3 linked regions of the Lytechinus pictus genome follow. The protein of the gene in region 2 purifies or fractionates together with the protein of the main gene of each other region. This does not show direct contact. Links are inferred from orthologs where the notes say so. Each region holds a gene or a part of one and is shown on either strand. Other genes may lie near its edges.

Region 1 (7,079 bases), on a different chromosome or scaffold from region 2:
AAAAAAAAAAGGAAGATAAAAGAAAAAAAAAAAAAGAAAAAGGAAAAAAAAAAATGAAAGAAAAGATGAAGAAAAGAAGATAAAAGAAAAAAGAAAAAAAAAAAAAAAGAAGACAAGAAAGATGTGAAAAGAAAAGATGAAGAAAAAAAAAAGAAGAAAAGATGAAGAAAAGAAGATAAAAGAAAAAAGAAAAAAGAAAAAGAAAAAAAAAAAAGATGATGAGAAAAGAAAAGATGAACAAAGCAAGAACTGTATCTATATATGTTTACATAGTAGGGCCACATAGTTTGCTGGGATACCTGTTTTGTATCCAATATTCTTTAGAATTAAGGGTTATTTGTTAGGTTAAGTTAATTAATAAGTCTAGATAAGATCTATCCTCAATAAGATTGGGAGAAGTGTAGAGACAAGCACTCCTTTATAATTTCCCTATTCGCTGTCCATAGCATTACACACATATACATGTATTCCCTATTGGCGGGCCATATAATTTCGGTATCTTGTCACGGCTCACGGGTCCCATCCCCTATATAAGCTAAGACGCATTTTAGTTATGTGTTATTATGAGTCAATTGGATCCACCGCTGAACGTGTACTACTGGCCTGAGGACGCACCATACCCCGGCAGCTAGCTACGCTACAGCAAGGACCAGAGCGCTCTGCAACTAGCTTCAAGTTCAACCAGTGCAACTCAAGCTTCGTGCCAGGCCATAATCCGACGCGAGATCCATATCTTAAGGTCAGATTAGCCCATAGATTCTCGTAAATTACAGTTAACTTAAGGTAATACTGATAGGTCACGATACAATAGTTGCTAATTTGGTTATGAAAATTATGCGGGAAATTATGCCATTTAGGGGTGCAAATTTGGGCAAATTTGAGGGGACCCGGGAGCAGACATAAGCCATAAACACCATGAAAGGCGATTGTAAGGGATACAAAATAATCCTCCCACACGCCGGCGCAGCCAGAGCAGCACTTATGAGAGCATGGACCTATTACTATTCCGGGTTACTATTAGATCCATGATGAGAGTTACCCCCCCCCCCCCTCCCGGTACAGTTCTAGCTAGTCTCTTACACCTGGCTCTATACTTACTAGGCAGCATGCGTTACCCACACACCCACAGGTATAACATTGATTTTGATGTTTACGCCACTTAGGGTTTCAAATTAGGGGATTTTCCTGTTTTAGGGTGGCTTTTCTCATGGGTTACGCCATTTAGGGTTGCAAATTTACTTAATGTCATAACGCCATTTAGGGTGCATTTCTGAGGTTGTTGGACACGGGTGGGTAGCAGTCCATGTGGAGAGTGACCCCCAGGGGGGACCTAAAGCTACGCACTTTGTTTACAAATGATTAAAACTATGTCGATTTTAATATTTGAACAAATTAACTTTTACTAATTTGTGGTAAATATTCTAACCAATATTCTAGTCCAAAAATTTGGATTTCCCAGAATGCAAGGATATAAACAAAGACAAATCATGTCTTGATAAATTGAGATTTTCCTTGTATATGGGGACGTTTTTTTTTTCACTTAACCCTGTGGGACATAGATGGTAATTACCGGGATTGAGAGTGCTAAAAAATAGATTCAGTGACCTCAATACCCCCCAGTTCACCATCTATTTTTTATGACTTGCCGTCTTCCAATAATCTTGTTATGAAACCTGATAATGAAATCATATATTTATATGGAATAGCGCACTTGATTGGTGTCAGGCTGTCAACACTTGACAGGTGAATAAACTTTCCTAGATTTCTTGTGTGGAGAAATCTTTGAAAACTGAGACAGTCCCTGTAAACTGGGACGATCCCAATTTTCTGACCAACGCCTCTTCTTCTTCTTCTTCTTCCGGGTGTAGTACAGACCTCTGGGTAGAGTATTTTCGTACTTTGTGCAGTGCTGAAAAACTAGTGTGCCATGCTGCATTGCCAAACCAAACCAAGCCTCGACTAACATTAGTTCTGCAAATGGCCCTCATCGACATCGGTCTGTTGACGGAGGGGATGCCGCGGAGCTAGACCAAAAGCTTCGGTCTCTGTTATATTGGTTGTTCCGCTGAACTCTGTTGGCTCCATGCACTCACCAATTACAGAGACCGAAGTTCTAACTCGATCTGTTCAGGGACTCAATGGCCATGTTTATGTACATGTATAAAGTTCGGATAAACCAGGGAAGTGGGAGTTGTGCACAGCCGAAGTAGATCTAAGACTAAGTCACTGGTTTTTCTTCCTTTTAATTTTTTTTCCCGTTTTGGTGCATTTCAGGCCAAAACGGAATAATATTAATAATCTTCATTTTCGTCCAGTTCTTTTTATAATTAAAGACAAAAATCGATGAGCCCTGTTGGGGGAATTTTGCATGTAATTAACCTCCTATTCCTAGTAAAAAAATGGCGGCTGCACAATCGCGAGCCGTCTGTGTACTACTAGTACTAAAATAGTAAAAAAAAAGTTACATTTCTAGTTCTACAAGGAAATTTAATTAAACAATTTCAAATGTTAAAAAAGTCCTCGAATTTCGAAACAGACGGCTGCCACTGCGGAGCCAGACAAAGTTTCGGCTCAGCGGAGCATATCCCTGACAGAAATATACCTTTATCGGTCTAACATTGCACTAACTTGTTAATGTTTGCGTAATTAACCCAGCAGCACAATTCCACAAAAAAGCTACGCCAGAGAGCAGCTGCTGGTCGCAGCAGACCACAAGCTGAAGCTCCGCCGCGCCGCTTCGCAGCCGAACTCTTTGGCGAGAATCAAGCCACGGCCATCAATCCATGCACTACCGTCCATAAATGATAGTAAACACACGAAGTCTACTCACGTTATTTCCATTTTTTAGACGCAAATCTTTTAGCACTCTCCGTGTTCGAGGGCTCGCCATATTCAGTCTTGAGATCTACCTAAAATTTCATCAATTTAGTTGTGTTGTTTTCTTCAAATCGTCACTTTGCGGCACCGGCAATCGGCGTTTACGTGGATGATGGATAAATGAGAAGAAAATAAACTAATCTTCAAATAAAATTGTGACATTAGGATACCAAAACGAACAACGGAGTGAAGAATAAGATTTGATACCAGTCTTTAATCTCCTATCCTTCTAGCCTTAATTCAGACCTGGTTGAGAGATCTACACTGCATGGGGTGGATTCCCCAGCGCGGATTATGGAGTAATTTCTTGTAAACAGAATAGTCTATCTATCTATCTATCTATCTATCCATCCATCTATCTATCTATCAGCTATCTCCATCCCCCCTCTCCCTCTCTCTATCTATATATCTACCTACCCATACCTACCTATACTTACCTACCTATCTATCTATCTATCTCTATCTATCTATCTCATCAGCTAGCTATCTCTCCCCTCTATCTCCCTATCTCTATCTCTATCTATATATATATCTATCTATATATATATCTATCTATCTATCTATCTATCTATATATCTATCTATCTATCTATCTATCTATCTATCTATCTATATATCTATCTATCTATCTATCTATCTATCTATCTATCTATCTATCTATCTATCTATCTATCTATCTATCTATCTATCTATCTATCTCTCTCTCTTTCTCTCTCTCTCTTTCTCTATCTATCTATATCTATTTATCTATCTAACTAGATAAAGATCTATCTGTCTATATTTCAAGAAAGAACTAAAACAATAAAATACACAATAAATAATGAGTGACATCATTGTCTTTCCCAATTCACTATACATTTGAATACCGGTGTATATATTTCCAAGCATGAGTTGTGCATAACTGTATAACTGTTCAGTGACATTTTATTTTACATCCGACATTCGTTTAGTATAGGCCCATCACTTGTTTTTGTTTTCCTCTCTCTTTAGTTTTGAGATGGACGTACCCTTTTATGATGTTTTCTATTTTGTTTCGAGGTAGGCCTATTGTTCAAGTCCACCCCAGAAACTTAGAGAATACTCAAGCAAGCAGTACGCTGAAGAATCAGCAAAATTGGATGAAAAATAAGAAAAGTTATATGATATTCTAAACTTTCACTTACATCAACAGTAAATGCACAACTCAGTGATAAATGAGAGAGTCGATGTCAATCACTTACGTTTCTTTTATTTTTTTTATTTGGTTCGAATAATGATTTTTTTTTTTTTTTACATTTATTTATTTATTTATTCATTCATTTATTTATTTAATTATCTATTTATTATTTTCTTTATTTATTATTTTTCCTTTTTTACAGATTTAGGACCCTCACAACGGCACTCTTCCAGAATCTCGGGTAAAGGTAACAATATAATGGTATTTCCTCATGTTCAGGGAGGAGTCAAACTCAATGAGGATGATGAAATTGAAATAGGCCCTATTTCATATTATTTATTTTCATGTAATAAAATACAAAAGAAACGGATGTACAGTGATGCCCGGGGTGATGTCATCGGCCCCCTTATTTGAATATAACCATATATAACTATTTTGTGAAATAAGGTGAAATAATTAATTCTTATCTCACATCGATCCCATTTTTATGGAACTTCCAGTATTATGCTGGTTTGATTTTTCCTTTGTATTCAAATAAAAGTTTGTAAGGGTCGGACATGCCCTTTAAGAAGTTCATTAATGTACTGAATGCAGAGCTCCCGCGTCTGGGAAAATGAAATGAATGAATAATGAATGAAGGAAGGAATGAATGATTGAATAAATAAATAAATTAATTAATTATTTGTTTATTTATTCATTTTTTTTCCATAAAAAACATTAAAATAGTTTCCATTGCAATACAAAATAAATTTGACATTGAAAAAAAGACAAGAAAGAAAAGGAAAAAAATATTGCGTATGCATATGAATGCATAACACCCCCCCCCCCTGCCGATCCACCTTATCAGACCAAAACCATATACTTTATCACCCCCCCCCCCTGAATGAATGAATGAAAGAATCAATCATGAATAAATGAATGAATGAGTGAGTGGATGAATGAAGAAACAAACAAAAATAAATGAATGAATTGAATTAATGGTAATAAATTACTTAAATTATGGACTTATTGCTTGGGGTAATGCAACAATTTGGCTGATCGATAGACTATTGATATTGCAAAAAAGAGCTATTCGTGTAATAAATAATGCAGATTTCCGGGCACATACAAATAATCTATTCTTGAAAAATAAAATTCTGAAAATTAAAGAACTGTACACTTTTCAACTTGGACAGTTTATGTTCAAGCTTAATACTAAACAACTACCTATGCCTCTAATTGATATGTTTTTTAAAAATAGTTCGATTCATAGTCACTTCACACGCCAAGCAAACTCTTTTCATTTACCACTGAACAGAACATCATTTGCTCAAAAAACGTTTATTTTTATGGGTCCTAAGCTATGGAATTCTTTTACAATTGATATAAAACAAAGCAATTCTATACAAATGTTCAAAAAACGACTTAAATCATTTCTCCTGAATTATTACTAAATATTTAATTCATCAATTACAAATTAAGCCTTCAGTGCTAAGAAGGAAACCTTTAATAATTTGTATACACTATGAGTGATTCATATATTTTTTAATATGATGCATATGATTTGTATAATAATGTTTATATTACATAATGTAAATATTGTTATTTGTTTGTTTGTTTGTTTGTTTGTTTGTTTTTACAAAAGAGCAATTCAGTTGCTATAAACACGTAATTACAACATTAGGGGGGCCTACATTATACAAGCTCTGCTTATCAGTTGGCCCTCCCTCCCTTTCAATTATTTATATTTCGATTTGATAATTGTCTATTGTAATTTTACAATGTTATCAATTTTTTGTATGTACTTCAAATGTGATTATATGTTACTATGTCAATTGTATCAAAAATTGTAAATATGAAATTGAAAGTGGAAAATAAAATGATTGAATTGAATTGAATTGAATTGAATTGAATAAATTGAATTAATATATATAAAAAACTTCTATAAAAATAGAATTTTTTTCTAGTGTTACAGGGGCCGCGGAACCGGGGGGCTTGGGGGTTGGCTTCAGCCCCCCCCCCCCACTTTTTTCTAAAACCGTGTACAAAAATGTAAAAATGACCATATGATTGTGATTTTAGCATGGTCAGCCCCCCCCCCCACTTTTGGCTCAGCCGGCCCCCCCCCCAACTTTGAAAACCGTTCAGCGGCCCCTGTGTTAAGCTTGTTTGTCAGATATCCGAGGAGGAAAACTCTCACCCATTTTAAGTCTGTTATTGATTATGAATATAATAAAAATAAAGCATTTTCGCTTTATTTGATGCAAGATTTTTTTTAAAAGCAATATGTTAATAGAAATATATGCCTTGGTCAAGGGCCGTGCCGGGAATCGAAACCCGCCGACTTTCATGATGAAATAAAGAAAAAAACAATTGGGGTTTATCTTAATCAATAACACAATGAATTTTCTTGTTTTAGCCCTTTTTCTTTTGTATTATAATTCTGACAGATGGATTGAACTTGACACCGGGGAATTTCAGCAAAAACAATACTTTTAGCGCCACCATAACTTTCTGGAAAACATAAAAGAGTCTGCTAAGCCTAAGGCTGCTGAAGCCGCTCCACTTTTTAGATGAACTTTGCTTGTATTTTAACGCCAATTGTTCTGTGATATAATAAAGGTAATATTTTACATAATGGTCTCTACATGTTTACGTACAATTCAGTCAATATAAGTATTCATCTTTTCGGATTGGATGTGATTGTAATGTAGGCTTATATTAGCGGCCGACGCGACGCAGCTGAGCCGAGATTAGAGTCGAGTGCCCGGACGCGGACCGGCCGAGGGCTGGGCGGCTGGGCCGAGTCTGACCGCACGCACCCATATGGGTTAGCAAACAATGGAGAAACAGGAAGTGAATAAACCGGAACAGGTGGAATTCTTGACAATCTTTAGTTACTTTGGGTGGCTGTCACAAGAGGAACTCTTTCCTTGGTGGGTTTTCTTCAATACCCACTCATTCAATGAACATGGTTATACCAAAAAGTTCAGGGTCTCATACTATAGTCATACTGATAGTGACAAATTTGTTGTTAATTGCCATCCTAATTTAACATCACATGATCT
Region 2 (7,058 bases):
GGGGAGGCACGGAAGGCATTTTCCCCCAGTGAGTTGGCCCCACCCCCGAAATTTTGAAAAATAAAAAAATGTATAGTAAATGTTGTCATAAGCATCCTACTAAAGCTGCAAAGTGCTCCAAAACAGCTTTTTCGTTCCTTAAATTTTGAAGATTTTCTCATCCATTCACTGTATAGCTCCCAATAATGTCACTAAATCTTTCAGGTCATTATATAAAATTCAAAATGTCGCCCGCGCTATATACGCCCGCGGTAGCTGTTGACTGAGATAAGTAAATTATCTGTTCAAATAGGGCTTTAAAATCCAATGTTCAAGTCAATATGGTTCTCGCGAATAGAATTTTCATTATTCGTTTTAGCGAGATACGCAACCTGCCTATACTCATAATTTTCATAAATAAAAAAAAATCAGCTCGCGCTATATACGCGTTCGCATTAAACGTTTGATTAGATAGCCATCCAGTTCATGATTACAAAAAGTGCTTATAGAACGTCCAGTTATCATCTCAGGATGTCAAAAATTTTCAGCTCGCGCTTCGTGCTCGCATTATTTATTTGGTGAGATATCATCTCCATGGCCCAATGCAAACAGCTGGTCCTTAACAGGTCTCTTTTTTAAATCAGTATAGGGTCTACATTAAAAAAAATAATACATCGCGCTTCTTGCTCGAGTTGAGAAATTGGCAAAATATTTGTGTGTTGACCCGCCCCCAAATGTTCTTTTGACGCCCCTGATGAAAATACTATAATTTTGTCATGTAGACTCTAATTCATCTTCATCTCCTCAAGTACGTACAGACCTCCGCCTGGTGTAAGAGGAAGAAGAAGGAGAAGACGACGAAGAAGAAGTAGATCGAAGAAGAAGAAGAAGGAAGAAGAAGAAGAAGACTTCGGAGGAAGAAGAAGAATTAAGAAGAAGAAGAAAGAAGAAGAAGGCCGGAGGAGAAGGAGAAGAACAGGGACGGATCCATGCAGCCTTCGCCAATAGGCAGATATATAGGGGGCGAATTTTTTCTCCCATATTTTCCCCCATCGGCCACTCAAAGTTAATTTGTTTCTTTATTTGAAGGAGGAGGTACTATATAATCACCTTTTAGCTTTATTCTTATAAAACAACATAAATATACAAGAATCTCATAAGCCCTATTTATAATTTTTGGAAATTTCATGTATGATTTTGTCCTGAAAATTGAACATTCTGGGCAATGTTTGTGATCCTGATCAAGATGCGTATATATACAGCGCGTCCCCGGAAATGTCCCTCTGATATACGGCTTTATTAATTCCAAAATTAAAAATAATTCTCATTTAAAGATGTGGAACTAGAAAGCCCATTTAATATCCTAACTTCAATAACAATTTAATTGGTCTTGCTTCAGCGGTTTTGAATACACATCATAACAGTGGTGCTTTTCAGCCCATTTTAATTTTCCATATACATGCAGCACTGATACCACTGTGCGTTCTGCATCGTCCAAGCATATCAACCAACTTTGATCATTCAGAATCTGATGAGGGATTTCCCTGATCTGACCTGGGAAATTTACTTTTTGATCTAACCAGGCTCATAAATAATATTCAGAAGGGCAACAACAGTACTCAAGTCTGATAATGGAGAATGCATAATGATAGAGAGAACAGGTCGACTCTGTTCCATGCCGAATTCCAACAGTATTGCATTCTTGTTTGCATTACTTTTTTAAAATAATTGTTTTGAGGTCAAGTTTTATACCTTTATTAATGAAAACAAAAGTCAATTTCCAATGCTACTGTTCACTTTCGCATAGTGCAACACACTTGTAGTTTGCCATTCAATGTTCATCTTAATGTACTAATCACTTATCTATATTTTCTTTCAAATTGGTGCATTATTCCCTATCAATCATAAAAATGTATATTTTTTATGTTCCTCACCCTTCTGAACATGCCAAAGTTTATCATTTGATAAGCCTGGATAGATCAGGATAATGTCCCTGCTCAGATCTTGGACAGGGGCGTAACAGGGGTCGGTGGGGTGGGGGGGGGGGGGGCAAGAGCCAAAAATTTCCCGGTCATATCATGGTATATAATTATGAACAGGATTTTTTGCGATTGTGCCAGAGCATTAGAGTTTAATGCGTGATATTAAGTACAAAAAGAGGGGGCACAGCATGGCGCGCGCGGCAAAAAGTTGCTTAATATATAAGCCCCGAGTGAACGAAGCGAGCGAGAAAAAAAATCACCTTTTCATGAGAATCTAACTTTGAGATTGATTTTGAAAAGGTATTCAGAAAATAACATCATAATTTACATCTTCCCTTTCCTTTCATCTTTTCTTTTTTGTTTAACTTTTGGGGGCCAGTGCTATGCGGATTGGGTCCGGGGCAGAGGTGGCACCAGGAATTTTAACCTAAAGGGAGGCAAAAAAACATGGGGGGGCAACACAATTTTTTTGCCTATTTCACGAAATCGAGCGAGAATTAAGCGTGAGCTATTTTTTTCAATGTAGGAATGCACTATACTGACTTGAAGAGGGACCTGTGAATGACTATGCTTGCACTGGATCATGACTCTCACCAAAATAATGAATAATGCGAGCGCGAAGCGCGAGCTGAAGTTTTTTATATCCTGATGAGATGATACTCTCGACGTTCTAAGCACTTTTTTTTATCATGAATCGGATGGCTATCTAACTAAACAATTATTGCTGCGAGCGCGTAGCACGAGCCGAAAACTTTTGATTTATAAATGAAACTTATGATACGCAGGATGTGTATCTCGCTTAAAACGAATAATGAAAACTTTAATTCCGAGAAGCATTATATTGACTTGAACACTGGATTTTTATGCCCCATGTGAACAGATAATTTACTTATCTCAGTCAACAGTTACTGCAAGCGCGAGCGAAATTTTGAATTTTATATAATGATGACCTGAAAGAATTGTGTTGACATGATTGTTGGGAGCTAACAGGGAATGGATGGGAAATTTTCAAAATTTAAAGAACGAAAAAGCTGTTTCGAGCACTTTGCAGCTTTAATAGGTTGCTTAGGACAACATTTACTATACAACTTTCTTTTTTTTCGGGAGGGGGGCAAGTGGGGGCCAACTCATTAACTCACTGGGGGTAAATGCCCACGTGCCTCCCGCTCGGTGCCGTCACTGCGGAGCCCCCTGAACCTCATGACATTGCAGATGGCAATTTTTTATCAAACGCGGGTACATACACCACATTACTTCAAAGCAATTGCGGAAAATATACGAAATATTTTGAAGCAGGACAACATAGCAAAATATTAATGTGGTAAAATTTGTTTTTAAAAAGTAGCCAGCGAGCTACCATTATTGCATCCTAGTTTCTTCCCGTTCTTTATATTTTTCAATCCTCGGCAGCCCGGTCGTGTTATTAAGTTCTTTCTTTTTTTTCATGTCCCTTTTCTTCATATTCTGATTTTCAATTAGCTTTTGGCTCTTCCTTCATTTCCCGTTTCCTTTTGCCTCTTTCTCCAATTTCCCAGCCATTAATTCTTGCCTATGCCATTGAGTCATATCTTTTTATTTCATATCACCCTCTTGCTAATCATGCTAATTCGGGATATTTTGTTCTTTCTCAAATGTTCTTCCGGCTTTTCCCGCTTTCCTTTTTTCTCTTTCCTCTTTTTTTCTCTCTCTCTTTCTTTTCCCGTTCCCCTTCTCTCTTTCTCCCTTTTCCCTTTTTCCCGTTTTTTTAATTTTCCCGGTGATATCCGCCAGGGGCAGCTTAATTTCCCCCCTGCCACCCCCGCCTGTTACGCCACTGGGAGGAGGAGAAGAAGCTAGGAGGAGGCGGCGGGATCGAGGAGCGGGCTTATTTCCCCCCTATTTAATTGAGCATGCGATCAAAACACATAGGAGTAATGCCGAAATTCCGAAAAACATTGTTTAAAAAATGTTATTTCAACTAAAAAAAATCTAATCAGGCCTTGTGTAGCACCTAGTCCCTAAAAACGTCATGAAGCGGTGTCAGCCAATGGCGTTGCGCGATTTTGGCTTGAAATTTAAAAGGAAACCAACCAGCCGCATTGTTGTCATTGAGCTGTGTGATCGAGTTTTCCGCGAAAATCCCTATCAAGATATTCATCATTTGCAATATTATAGGGCTTTTTTCAAGTGAAGTTCATCATTCTGTTAGCCAATATCACAGTTCGTCATTTCCGAGGTAAATTATTGTTATTAGTCGAGAAACAGACGTGTTTTATGTGGTTGAGTCTTGATTGAATTTAGTGTAGTTGCACTTGTGAAGTTGTGTGAGATTGCATCGCCGCGCTGCACTGCACTGCCGGTACGGGTCCGCTATAGTGCATGCCCTGCGATGCGAATTGCGATATAGAGTCTTTAATTAGAGAAAGACATTGCCATGTATTTAATATGCCGTTGGTTTGTTGTTATGTTGGACATGCTTATGATTGACTCAGACTGTGCCAGTGGTGCTTATATTTTGTAATAAGTGTTGATCTTAAAGGTCAAGTTCACCCAATAAAAAAGTTAATTTAAATAAATAGAGAAAATCAAACATGAATAATAACGCCGAAAACTTCATTAAAAAAAACGGATGAAAAAACTAAAATAAGAAAGTTACGACATTTGAAAGTTTCGCTTATTTTTCACAAAACAGTTCTATGCTCAATTCAGTGATAAATGAGACTGAGAGTCGATGATGTCACTCACTCACCATGCTCACTAATTGAGTAATTCTATTTCTTTTGTTTTTTATTGTCCAATCACATCTCACAAACACATGTCTCAAGGTCAATATGCCCTCCGTTTTTTCTGCATATCGCGATTGGAAACGGCCGTATTTCGCCTTCGATGTCGACGTCATCGTTCAAATTCTCAGTCAGACTTCGCTTGGCTTCAGCCTTGTGAGCTGCCACGGACAAATCTTTTGGTCGCTAACTTCATCCATATCAAAATTACCCAAAATGAAGTGAAGCGATGTCTGACTGAGAATTGAACGATAACGTCGAGATATGAGCTGAAATACAGTGGTTCCCGGTCACGACATTTGGAAAAGCGGTAGATAACTAGATATAGGCCTATTGTTTATTGACCTTGAAATTTGACTGAGTGACTAGCCATGACATTTGTGAACAATTTCTGATGGGGAAATTTGCTCGAAGTCGGCCTACATTGCATTAGGACCGAAATCTGTCTCTCAGATTTAATACCAAATGACAAAATTCCAAAATGGAAGATATTATTCTTTAAAAAAAACACCTCTTTTTGGTTCCAATATCGACTGTGCTCCACTTGACTTATGATTGGGCATGTCAACATCAGATCAAATCACATTTGCTTGATTTAGAAATACATGTATTAACAGCTCAGGATCATTGAGAAAATCTCATATGATTGATAAAAATCTTTATATTCACATGAAAACTTATACTAATTTAACCCAGAGCAGGCCTGCATGAGCCCAGAAGATAGCCATAGGCTGCCACAGTTAACAACTAAGATGGGTACCTTCGACGTTGGGGGACCAAAAACACTCAAAATTAAAGGGGAAAAAAAGAAATCATGCATCCACCTCAATTCTATGGATGAAGGGCTAATGCCAATGGACTGCATGAATCCTGACATCAAGGCAGGAGTCAGACCCTCAAAAAAGGCCGCATCAGTTTACTCACTTTCAAAATTACAAACAAAACTGTCCGATCAATATACCGAGGGCGCATGCGTGAATTTGACAGAGTCTATATTGCGCATGTGCCCTTGGTATATCTATCGGACAGTTTTCTTTGCAATTTTGAAAGTGAGTGAACGAACACAGGTCACAGCCATTTTCCCCCCCTTTATTGAGGGTCTGGCTACTGCCTTGATGTAAGGATTCATGCAGTCCGTTAGACCTTCATCCAAGGTGGGTGTATGATTTCTTTTCTTTTTTTCTCTTTAATTTGGGGTGTTTTTGGTACCCCAACCTCAAAGGTACCCATGGCAGCCTATATGGAGACATTTCCAAACCATTCTTACCAATAACACACACGTCTTTCATTATTTTATTAACACAGATGACTTCAGAATATGGCAAAGAAAATTCTTCTCAAGCCCACATGCCATCAAAGGTTTGTTTACCATTTTCCCCCCAGCTTCTTGTAAATTTGAAGACAAAAAAATGTTTTTAATTTTATTTTGTTTCAAGATGTTGTTCTTAGTACATGTACATGTCTCAACCAATAAAAGCACTCCTTATGGTTATAGTTACATAAAATTTGAAGTGCAATCATGTGCACATACTTGATTTCTTATTGAATGCAAGCTAAGTGATAAGATTAAGTTTGTGTCTTTGTGACTGACTTTTTATGCACACGAATCATCACAGTATGAGTATGACACACCAACACGTTGGGCAATACACTAAAGTCCGGTTTAATTTAGGGTATGTTTTTAGTCTTTAGTCTCTGCCAAATTATTGGAATCCATTTCTTTTTTTCTTTTTTTTTTAATTGTAGTGTAACATTCTTACATGTATGTTTCATGTAGACTCAATCAATCATGCTAAAATGTTAAAGAAAACTAAGTCAAATGTGCCTATAAATTAAGTCACTACTGTTTAGAATTTGAATTTCCATTTACATTGGGATTTATACCAAGATTTAAATTAAACCTTTATTTTTTCCATAGTAATTAATATATGAATTTGTATAATTCTGTTTGGAATTTTATCTTTTCATTCATGTTGTCAAATTTCTATCTCTCCATCAGGCACACATGACACCCGTTAGTGTACCAAGGGCCAACGCAGGACCAAAGCGGATCCTCAAGCCAAACGGCTCAAACGTAAGAACCACACCCACTAAGGCCGTTAGGTCATCGGTCGGTCATCCGCCGGTCTATCAGTCCCAGTCCCAGACTGTGACTGTTCAGGCCACAACTGTTAAAAATTCCTATGTGAGTTAAGGAGATAATCAGAGAACTGGCCTCCTACCTCCTACCCAGTCCTCTCCTGTTGCCACACTCCATATGGACCCTTCTTCTGTCCCCTTCCTATCATCAATCACCTTCCACCTCTCAAGCTTCTTATTAAAAAAAAATCAAATA
Region 3 (7,376 bases), on a different chromosome or scaffold from region 2:
GATCTTGCAAAGACACAAAGGAGCAATAAACAATTAGAAATTTAAATTTATGGAATTACACTCTTGAAACCAGATGAATTGCATCCAAAACTTAATACTTGAAAATTGAAAAAACAGATCAATGGATGATTAAGAAAGATTAAATTAATCACAAAGTTATAAAGGATTTGAATATTGAGAACTTAAGATCACTAAATGCTTTGGAGATCCTCACATTGGCAACGTAAACAAAATGTACAATTTTTTATGTTGCATTTTATAAAGATGTCTTTTGTTCTACAGGAATTTACATCTTCTCAAAAATATACTACATACATATAAAACTTCAATTCACGTTTGTTTCTTGTCTTCATGCACCATTTTGTCTCTTGACAACAATTAATGCAGTAAGTTTCATTCCAACTGCAAAAGTCACCCTATCTTCAAATCCCCTCTCTCCCACTAAAAATCATCTCTTCAATTTAATAATATATTCACATCATCACATTTGGCAACCTCATCAACAATAAAACAATTTTCTTCACTTGAAACTTACTGCAGCGATTGTGAGAAGATCAAAGACTTTGGTGCAGTACCTCCATGCATTAGCATTTCCATATTTCGTCTGACATTCATCTGAAAATGAAAAAAAAGGGAGCAGTTTAGAGTTTTCACATGTCATTGGTCATGTTTCACTACAAATAAATTAGAAGCTACAAGGGCTAACGGCTCCTTGGTCTAATAATAGTTGGTCTAACACCAGTTGGTCTAATTAATCCATTATTTCTCCATGAAAATGTGTATTTTTTCAATCAACCCTACTTTTAATTGTCATTCAACTGTCACCCTCTGCCGATACTTGCAGGGAGGTATAGGACTACCAGGCAAAGATGCAGCCGGATTAAACACAACACCATTTCAAGGGCCATATTGTTTTTGTACAGTAGTCTGCCTCTCAAAACTATGTTGTCTAATCCGGCGAGATTTGCACCTGGGCCCCGTCTTACAGAGTTGCGATTGATTCGATCAACCTCAACTATATGGAAATCCATCATTGTCATAATTTTTCCTATCAGAAATTTGCACAATGTCCTTTGTTAACAAAGAGAAAGCATAACAAATTGTCAAGACTAAGATGAATGTATTAAAGGGTATGTATCGTATCTAGAAAATATTTTGAACAAACATGCATTTTAGATATGGGCGTTGCTGGCTTTCCATAGTTGTGGTTGATCGGATCAATCGCAACTCTTGTAAGACGAGGCCCAGGAATTACAACCTCTGCTATAGCAAGCACTCCATCCAAAACTAACTCATTGAAATAAATGTATGTCTTCTGTTCAGCCCTTGCGTACATGTTAATATATGACAATACATGTATTTCTATGACACTGACAACTTTGCCTTCTCTTTTTGATACTTCTTTCTCTTTCAACTACAAATTCATAATTTGTTATACCCCTTCTTATTCCTGTCAAATTTTCATAAATACATTTTGTTTTTATAATGGTTGGCAGGCTCTGGAATAAAGATGGCTTACCATAGAATCCATAGACTTGTGTAATTTGTCTGCTTTCATGATTCCCTCTCAACAGAACAATACGGTCTGGCCATTTTGCTTTTAGTGTGAGTAACCTAGTGAATGTCTCTAAGCTGTAATAACCTCGGTCTACAAAGTCACCCTGGAAGGGAAAGAATGGATGGGATTTATCAAACAAAGTAAAAGTCCTATCCAATCCAATGGTCATTAGAAATATCACATTTCCTTTTGGTTGCAAAGCACTGCAGACACACAACTCCAAGTTTGGGCTAGTCAAATAATAATTCAACACCTCAGAATGGTCAGATTAGTCCATGCAATTCATTGTCCTCATTAGCAAAATAGATGGAATTTAATGACTTTCTTGAATAGCCATAAAATTGCCATTACCTATCTTTTACCTTTTTTTTTACCTAATTTTTTTTCAAACTATCAAAATCTTCATAACAATGATTTTTTAACCTTTGTTTTCATCTTGAAATTAATTTTTTTTTTTTTTTTTTGGGGGGGGTTGTTGTATGCACTTTGATCAATAACGAGATCGGGTCCACATAACATAAAGCTCAGTGATGTCTTGATAAGTTTCCCCCAATCAAGTGATAAAAAAAGAATTTCTTACCATGAAAATATAACTTGTATCTGGGATCTGACCACCAGTCCTGAAAAGCTCTTCCAAGTCATAAAACTGTGAAATGGGGAAAAGAATATTAATAAAAATACATGAACAAGTACTTACTAAATGAAATATGGTAAAACAAATGGTGTCTAGGTAAAAATTATGAGACACGATAAATTGGATTTGTCTGAAAAAGATGAAAAGCAAATGTTAAATGGAATACTCCCAAAATAATTATGATATGTATACATGCAAACAAAAAAATCCTTACTTCTTAGCATCATTGAGAACACAGTTATGATGACTCTAATATCTGGACATACAGTAAAGGGCTAAAAGTGATTTTATGCGATGTGGTGGGGGGGGGGGGGGAAATGAAGATGGGATGGTGCAAGCAAGGATGGAAGATGAAGGAGAAGGGTGAAGAATAGAAGCGAAAGAGGGGAAGAAGGATAATGGGGAGGAGGAGGACTGATGAAAGGATGAGCAGAAAAAGAAAGGGGCAAGGAGAAAGGAGATGATGAGGTAGACAGAAAGGAAGAAAAGAAGGACACAGGGAAGGTAAAGACCAGAAAAGATTACGGGACGGAAAGAAAAGGAAAAGATTAAAAAAAAGGATAGGGAAAAAGTATGACCAACAAGGAGCTATCATCTAATTGAAAATCTAATGTAACAGTTACATCAACAAAACCGACCACAGACCAATGAAATTTACTTGTATGTTATTTTAAATTCTCAGATTTCTATTTCGAATAAGAAAAAAAATATGGATATCATAACATTGGTCAATTGGAGTCACTTTTGTTGTTGTGAATGCAATATACCCAAGAAATTTACCTGTCCATGTATATCCCCACACACTGTAACTGGAGTTGATACCGGTTGAACGTTGCATTCCTCTAACTGCAGGTCACATACCACATCACACAATTTCTGGGGAACAAAAAGTGGAGAAATAATTTGATTGAAACACCAAATGCAGAATCAGGGATTTAGAAAAGTACCCATGGTCAAGGAAAAGCAATTTTTCTTAAAAATTACAAAGACATGGCTATTGCCATTATTCCCATCCGATTCACAAGGGTCCAAGGTAGAAAGGTTGTAAAAATATCATCCTATAAAACAAATATCTCACCACCCCTCCCCCTTTTGTCTTAGCTGAAAACGAGTGTCGCTACTTAAGGCGAGCACATAATACGCCCGTCTGTAAAATGGAAAATGGAGTTATTGGTCAAGCAAGAAAAGTGGAAGGTGGCGACTTGACCTTTGACCTTTTGACCTCAAAATCGATAGGCTTCCTGGGATCCATGCTAGTATCATACACACCAAATTATATGAGCCTTGGTTAAATTAAAGTTATCGCGTTTAGAAGGATTTTAGAAGGGTATTAAAGATGAAAACATGTCGGTGTGACCTTGATTTTTGTCCTCAAAATTAATAGGTTTCCTAGGATCTAGGCTAGTATCATACACACCAAATTATATGAGCCTAGAATAAGTTAAACTAAATATCACCTTAAGGACTTCAGAAGGGTAAGATGAAAACATGACAGTGTGACCTTGACCTTTTGACCTCAAAATCAATTGGCTTCCTGGGATACAATTACATGCTAGTTACATACACATCAAATTATATGAGCCTAGATTAAGTAAAATTGAAGTAATCTCCTTTACAAGGACTGCAGAAGGTTAAGATGAAAATATGTCACTGTAACCTTGACCTTTGCACCTCAAAATCAATAGGCTTCCTGGGATCAATGCTATATATCATAATGATAATACACCAAATTATATGAGCCTAGGTTAAGTCAAACTAAAGTTATCGCGTTTACAAGAAAAAGTTAACGGACGGACATTGAGCGTGATATACGTTCCGTCTAGGACGGGCCTATAAAAAGTGATAGGTGAACATAACTTGGCGATTACATATTGCTAAATCATGGTTAATATAAGACCCCTGTTACACATACGTTTGCAAGTGGACTGAGGCCGGCCCCGGAGGCGGCTCGACGTATGTGTAACATCAACTTTTTTTGAAAAGCCGGACTGAGGCCGGACTGAGGCCAGGTGGACTCAGTCCACCTCTGGATGTGGTTTGAGGCCGGCCCGAGTCCGGACTCAGTCCCGCAATCGGTAGGTGTAACACCAAAGTGGACTCGGCGCCGGCTTATAAGCGGAAGTGACGCGACCTGTCATCATCAACAATGCATCGGCCGGGCGCGCTTTTGCCATTTGGACCAGGCATGCAGTATATATTATAGGTAAGCCTCGCCCCGAGCGTAAAATTACATTGTTTTTCATCATTTATTGCTTTAAATTTTAATTTCCTCATATCCAGCAGCCTGCACTAAGACACGACATATTCTGTACTGGTGGGCTAAAAGTTTAAACCGTTTATTCCTGGTATTTTCTCCGAACAGAACTGATGAGTGATGGTGACTTGTAATTCAGTCCCATCCCTATATTTCTGTGGGTTTGGGAATTATGATTTTCGATCGTCTGATCATTTCCTGTTTATTTCGATGTTTTTAAATACATCGCTACTGTGATTGCACCATCTGAAGAATGATCATTATTTTTTTGTTGGCGATGATAATTTATCAATACTAATAGACAGACTAAAAACAATAGCCTGGACAGGAGTGCCATACATCATGAGCCGTCATAATTTTTCTCATATGATTATGAAATTATGACTCATCATCATCAGACTCGGAGTCAGACTGTCAGAGTTAATACATCATCTTATGCCTCAAACAAAGTCATCATGATCATGAGGCATGAACTTGATGAAGTATTTAACTTTGATTTTGAAGGCATGGCCAGGGGCAGGCCAGGCCATGAGACATGAAACTAGACAATTGCCATTAATTATTTCAAATGCCAATAATCCACTCAGTCGGAGTCGCACATAGTCAGAAATTGGACATGAAATATGTCGCTAGACATTGAAACAAATGAGTAGGGTCTAGATCTACATATAAAATAGTGTCTGCCTGTAAAATCCCCACAAAAAAGAAGTAGACTAAAATAAGTAGATTCTAGCGGTGAGTGCATAAAACAATGTTAATACAGATTACAGTACAATAATATACACAACTCTAACTTCGAAGTCCTATCCCTAACCAACCAAAGTCATCAGGAGGCCGCGTACTCTAGGATGGACGCCGGGGTCTGCGAACCCTAACCCTAGCTGTAACAGACTCTGCGTACCTTACTATTATAGTATTAACTGTCTCTATAATTAACACTCTAGGCCTACCATCTCTAAATGATCATTAAACCGTCTCTAAAATTATCACTAGAAGCAAATTGTATTAAAAATTGTATACATTAACAGATTAACACGTGATATGATAACAAAAGAAACTTGTAAATAAAGTATGAATAAGTTCTTCTTCCACCGGTATTCAGAGATCAGCGGCTGGCCACGTGTTAGTTGCCGAGCTGTAGGAGTTTATCTTGATGGACTTGATAGATTTTTAGAATATTATTTCCCATATTTTGTATACTATATGGATTTCTAGATAGTTATTTTAGAAAGTGATTTCCCATATTTTGTATACTTTATTTATATTAGTTATGTCATTCTAAGTCATACCCATATTTTTCAATTGTTTTATTCAATTTTAGTGATGGGTACATATGGAACTTTAGCGGAATAATTTGTCCATCGATCATCAAATGTTACATAGCAGGGGGAGAAGGGCCTTCATATATCTAGGTGGTCGATCAATCTGAATCATTAAATTTGAATTTTTGATGATATTCATGTCAACTGTCCCCTGACAAGAGAAGTTGTTGACAAGATCAAAAATCCTAAAAGGTGATTAATAGATGTTACACATAATTTTATATAATAATTTTACCACATCGTAATCTTTGTGGTTACCATTATTAATTTGTATTTGTATTTGTTCTCTCATTTTAGATCAAAATGGCACCAACAGGGAGAGGGAGTCTGTGGGAAGATGTGGAGACGCTGTGCCTCCTGAATATTTGGCGGGAGAAAAACATTCAAGAACAGATGGATGGCACAGTAAGGAACAAAACGGTATTTCGTAAGATATGCCAATTGATGAAAGAAAGGGGGTTCGAAAGGGCAGAGGACCAAATCAAGCGGAAAATTAAACAACTAAGAGCGTCCTTCCGAAAGACGGAGGACAATAACAATCGATCAGGCAGGGGGAGAATTACATGTAAATTCTATAGCGAACTGCAGGAGATCTTTGGGGGCAGACCAGAGACTGCACCAGTTGCCATTCTGGCGTCGCAACCAGAGGAGGAGGATCAATCTGAGTCGCTAGACTCGGTGGACTCTGATTCACTGCCGAGAGAGGAGGAGGAGGATGGAGCCGAAGAAGATAGAAGTATAACGGATGATGAACTGGAGGAAAATGATGTGGAAGCACCAACAGAATTGGGTAAAGGATTCCTCTTCCTTTTTTCATTTGTAATCACATATACATGTTTATTTGTATATACATGTGTAATTATAAAGACTAATCCTTTTTGGCTCTTACCCTCTCAGTGTGAGCATTTAAAATAAACATTATTGGTATCATTATATTGTCTTGATGTATCATTTTATACTGAGTAATATGAAAGGAACTGATTTGAATTTACTAAAATAAAAATGTATTGAAAGTTAGCCTTTGTTTTAAAATGTTTTTACTTCAGTGACACATAACAACATAAAAATTAGTTCCCCTTCATTTTATGCATAAAAATGAAATGTTTATTATTGTAGTCACTTATTGTAATCGCTTTTCTATCCCTCATTTTCTTTAGTTGGCAATTTTCCACCGGAGGATCTAGAGGGACCTTCAACATCATCTGCTAATGGACGTAAGGCAACTGGTAATATAAACAGATTGTTTCCATACATTTGCTTATTTATAGTTCATATGATATTTGAATTCGATTCAGCAAATTTTCAAGAAAAGGGGCCTTTTACATCCCGTTGATGTTGCTTTCATGCAGTATGATTTTTTTTTGCAACTCAAGGTTTTCTCACTTGATTTGTTGTATTAGCTATTAGAAGTGTGATATTGCATGCCTTATGTCAAATACAGAAAAGTATGTGTGTAACAAGTTGAAAGAAATAAAATGATTGTATACCTTTCTTACCGCTATCACATTTGATTGATTTTTTTTTATTTACGATGTATTTTATACTACCTACTTCATAACAGGGGAAAAGCGGAAGAAATCAAAGCTGCAGGAGTCCTTCGGACTGATA

The links.
Region 1: the proteins of aurora kinase C-like (region 2) and ADP-ribosylation factor GTPase-activating protein 1-like purify together in Homo sapiens (affinity purification with mass spectrometry; 3 studies listed by BioGRID and IntAct, counting the BioPlex papers as one, with this or other methods). This does not show direct contact. The link is inferred for Lytechinus pictus from reciprocal best matches to the Homo sapiens genes AURKA and ARFGAP1.
Region 3: the proteins of aurora kinase C-like (region 2) and serine/threonine-protein phosphatase 6 catalytic subunit purify together in Homo sapiens (affinity purification with mass spectrometry; 4 studies listed by BioGRID and IntAct, with this or other methods). This does not show direct contact. The link is inferred for Lytechinus pictus from reciprocal best matches to the Homo sapiens genes AURKA and PPP6C.

The regions. Positions count from the first base shown.
Region 1 is NC_087261.1:4,284,391-4,291,469, forward strand, and holds the start of ADP-ribosylation factor GTPase-activating protein 1-like, read right to left. Parts: upstream 3,108-7,079; 5' UTR 2,891-3,107; coding exon 2,831-2,890; intron 1-2,830. UniProt on the Homo sapiens protein: GTPase-activating protein (GAP) for the ADP ribosylation factor 1 (ARF1). Involved in membrane trafficking and /or vesicle transport.
Region 2 is NC_087246.1:50,027,328-50,034,385, reverse strand, and holds the start of aurora kinase C-like, read left to right. Parts: upstream 1-4,021; 5' UTR 4,022-4,176; intron 4,177-6,028; coding exon 6,029-6,082; intron 6,083-6,722; coding exon 6,723-6,908; intron 6,909-7,058. UniProt on the Homo sapiens protein: Mitotic serine/threonine kinase that contributes to the regulation of cell cycle progression.
Region 3 is NC_087259.1:23,573,178-23,580,553, reverse strand, and holds the start of serine/threonine-protein phosphatase 6 catalytic subunit, read right to left. Parts: upstream 3,065-7,376; 5' UTR 2,973-3,064; intron 2,205-2,972; 5' UTR 2,142-2,204; coding exon 2,139-2,141; intron 1,662-2,138; coding exon 1,520-1,661; intron 616-1,519; coding exon 536-615; intron 4-535; coding exon 1-3. Other genes in the region: trichohyalin-like, read left to right, coding at 6,072-6,558, 6,926-6,994, 7,330-7,376.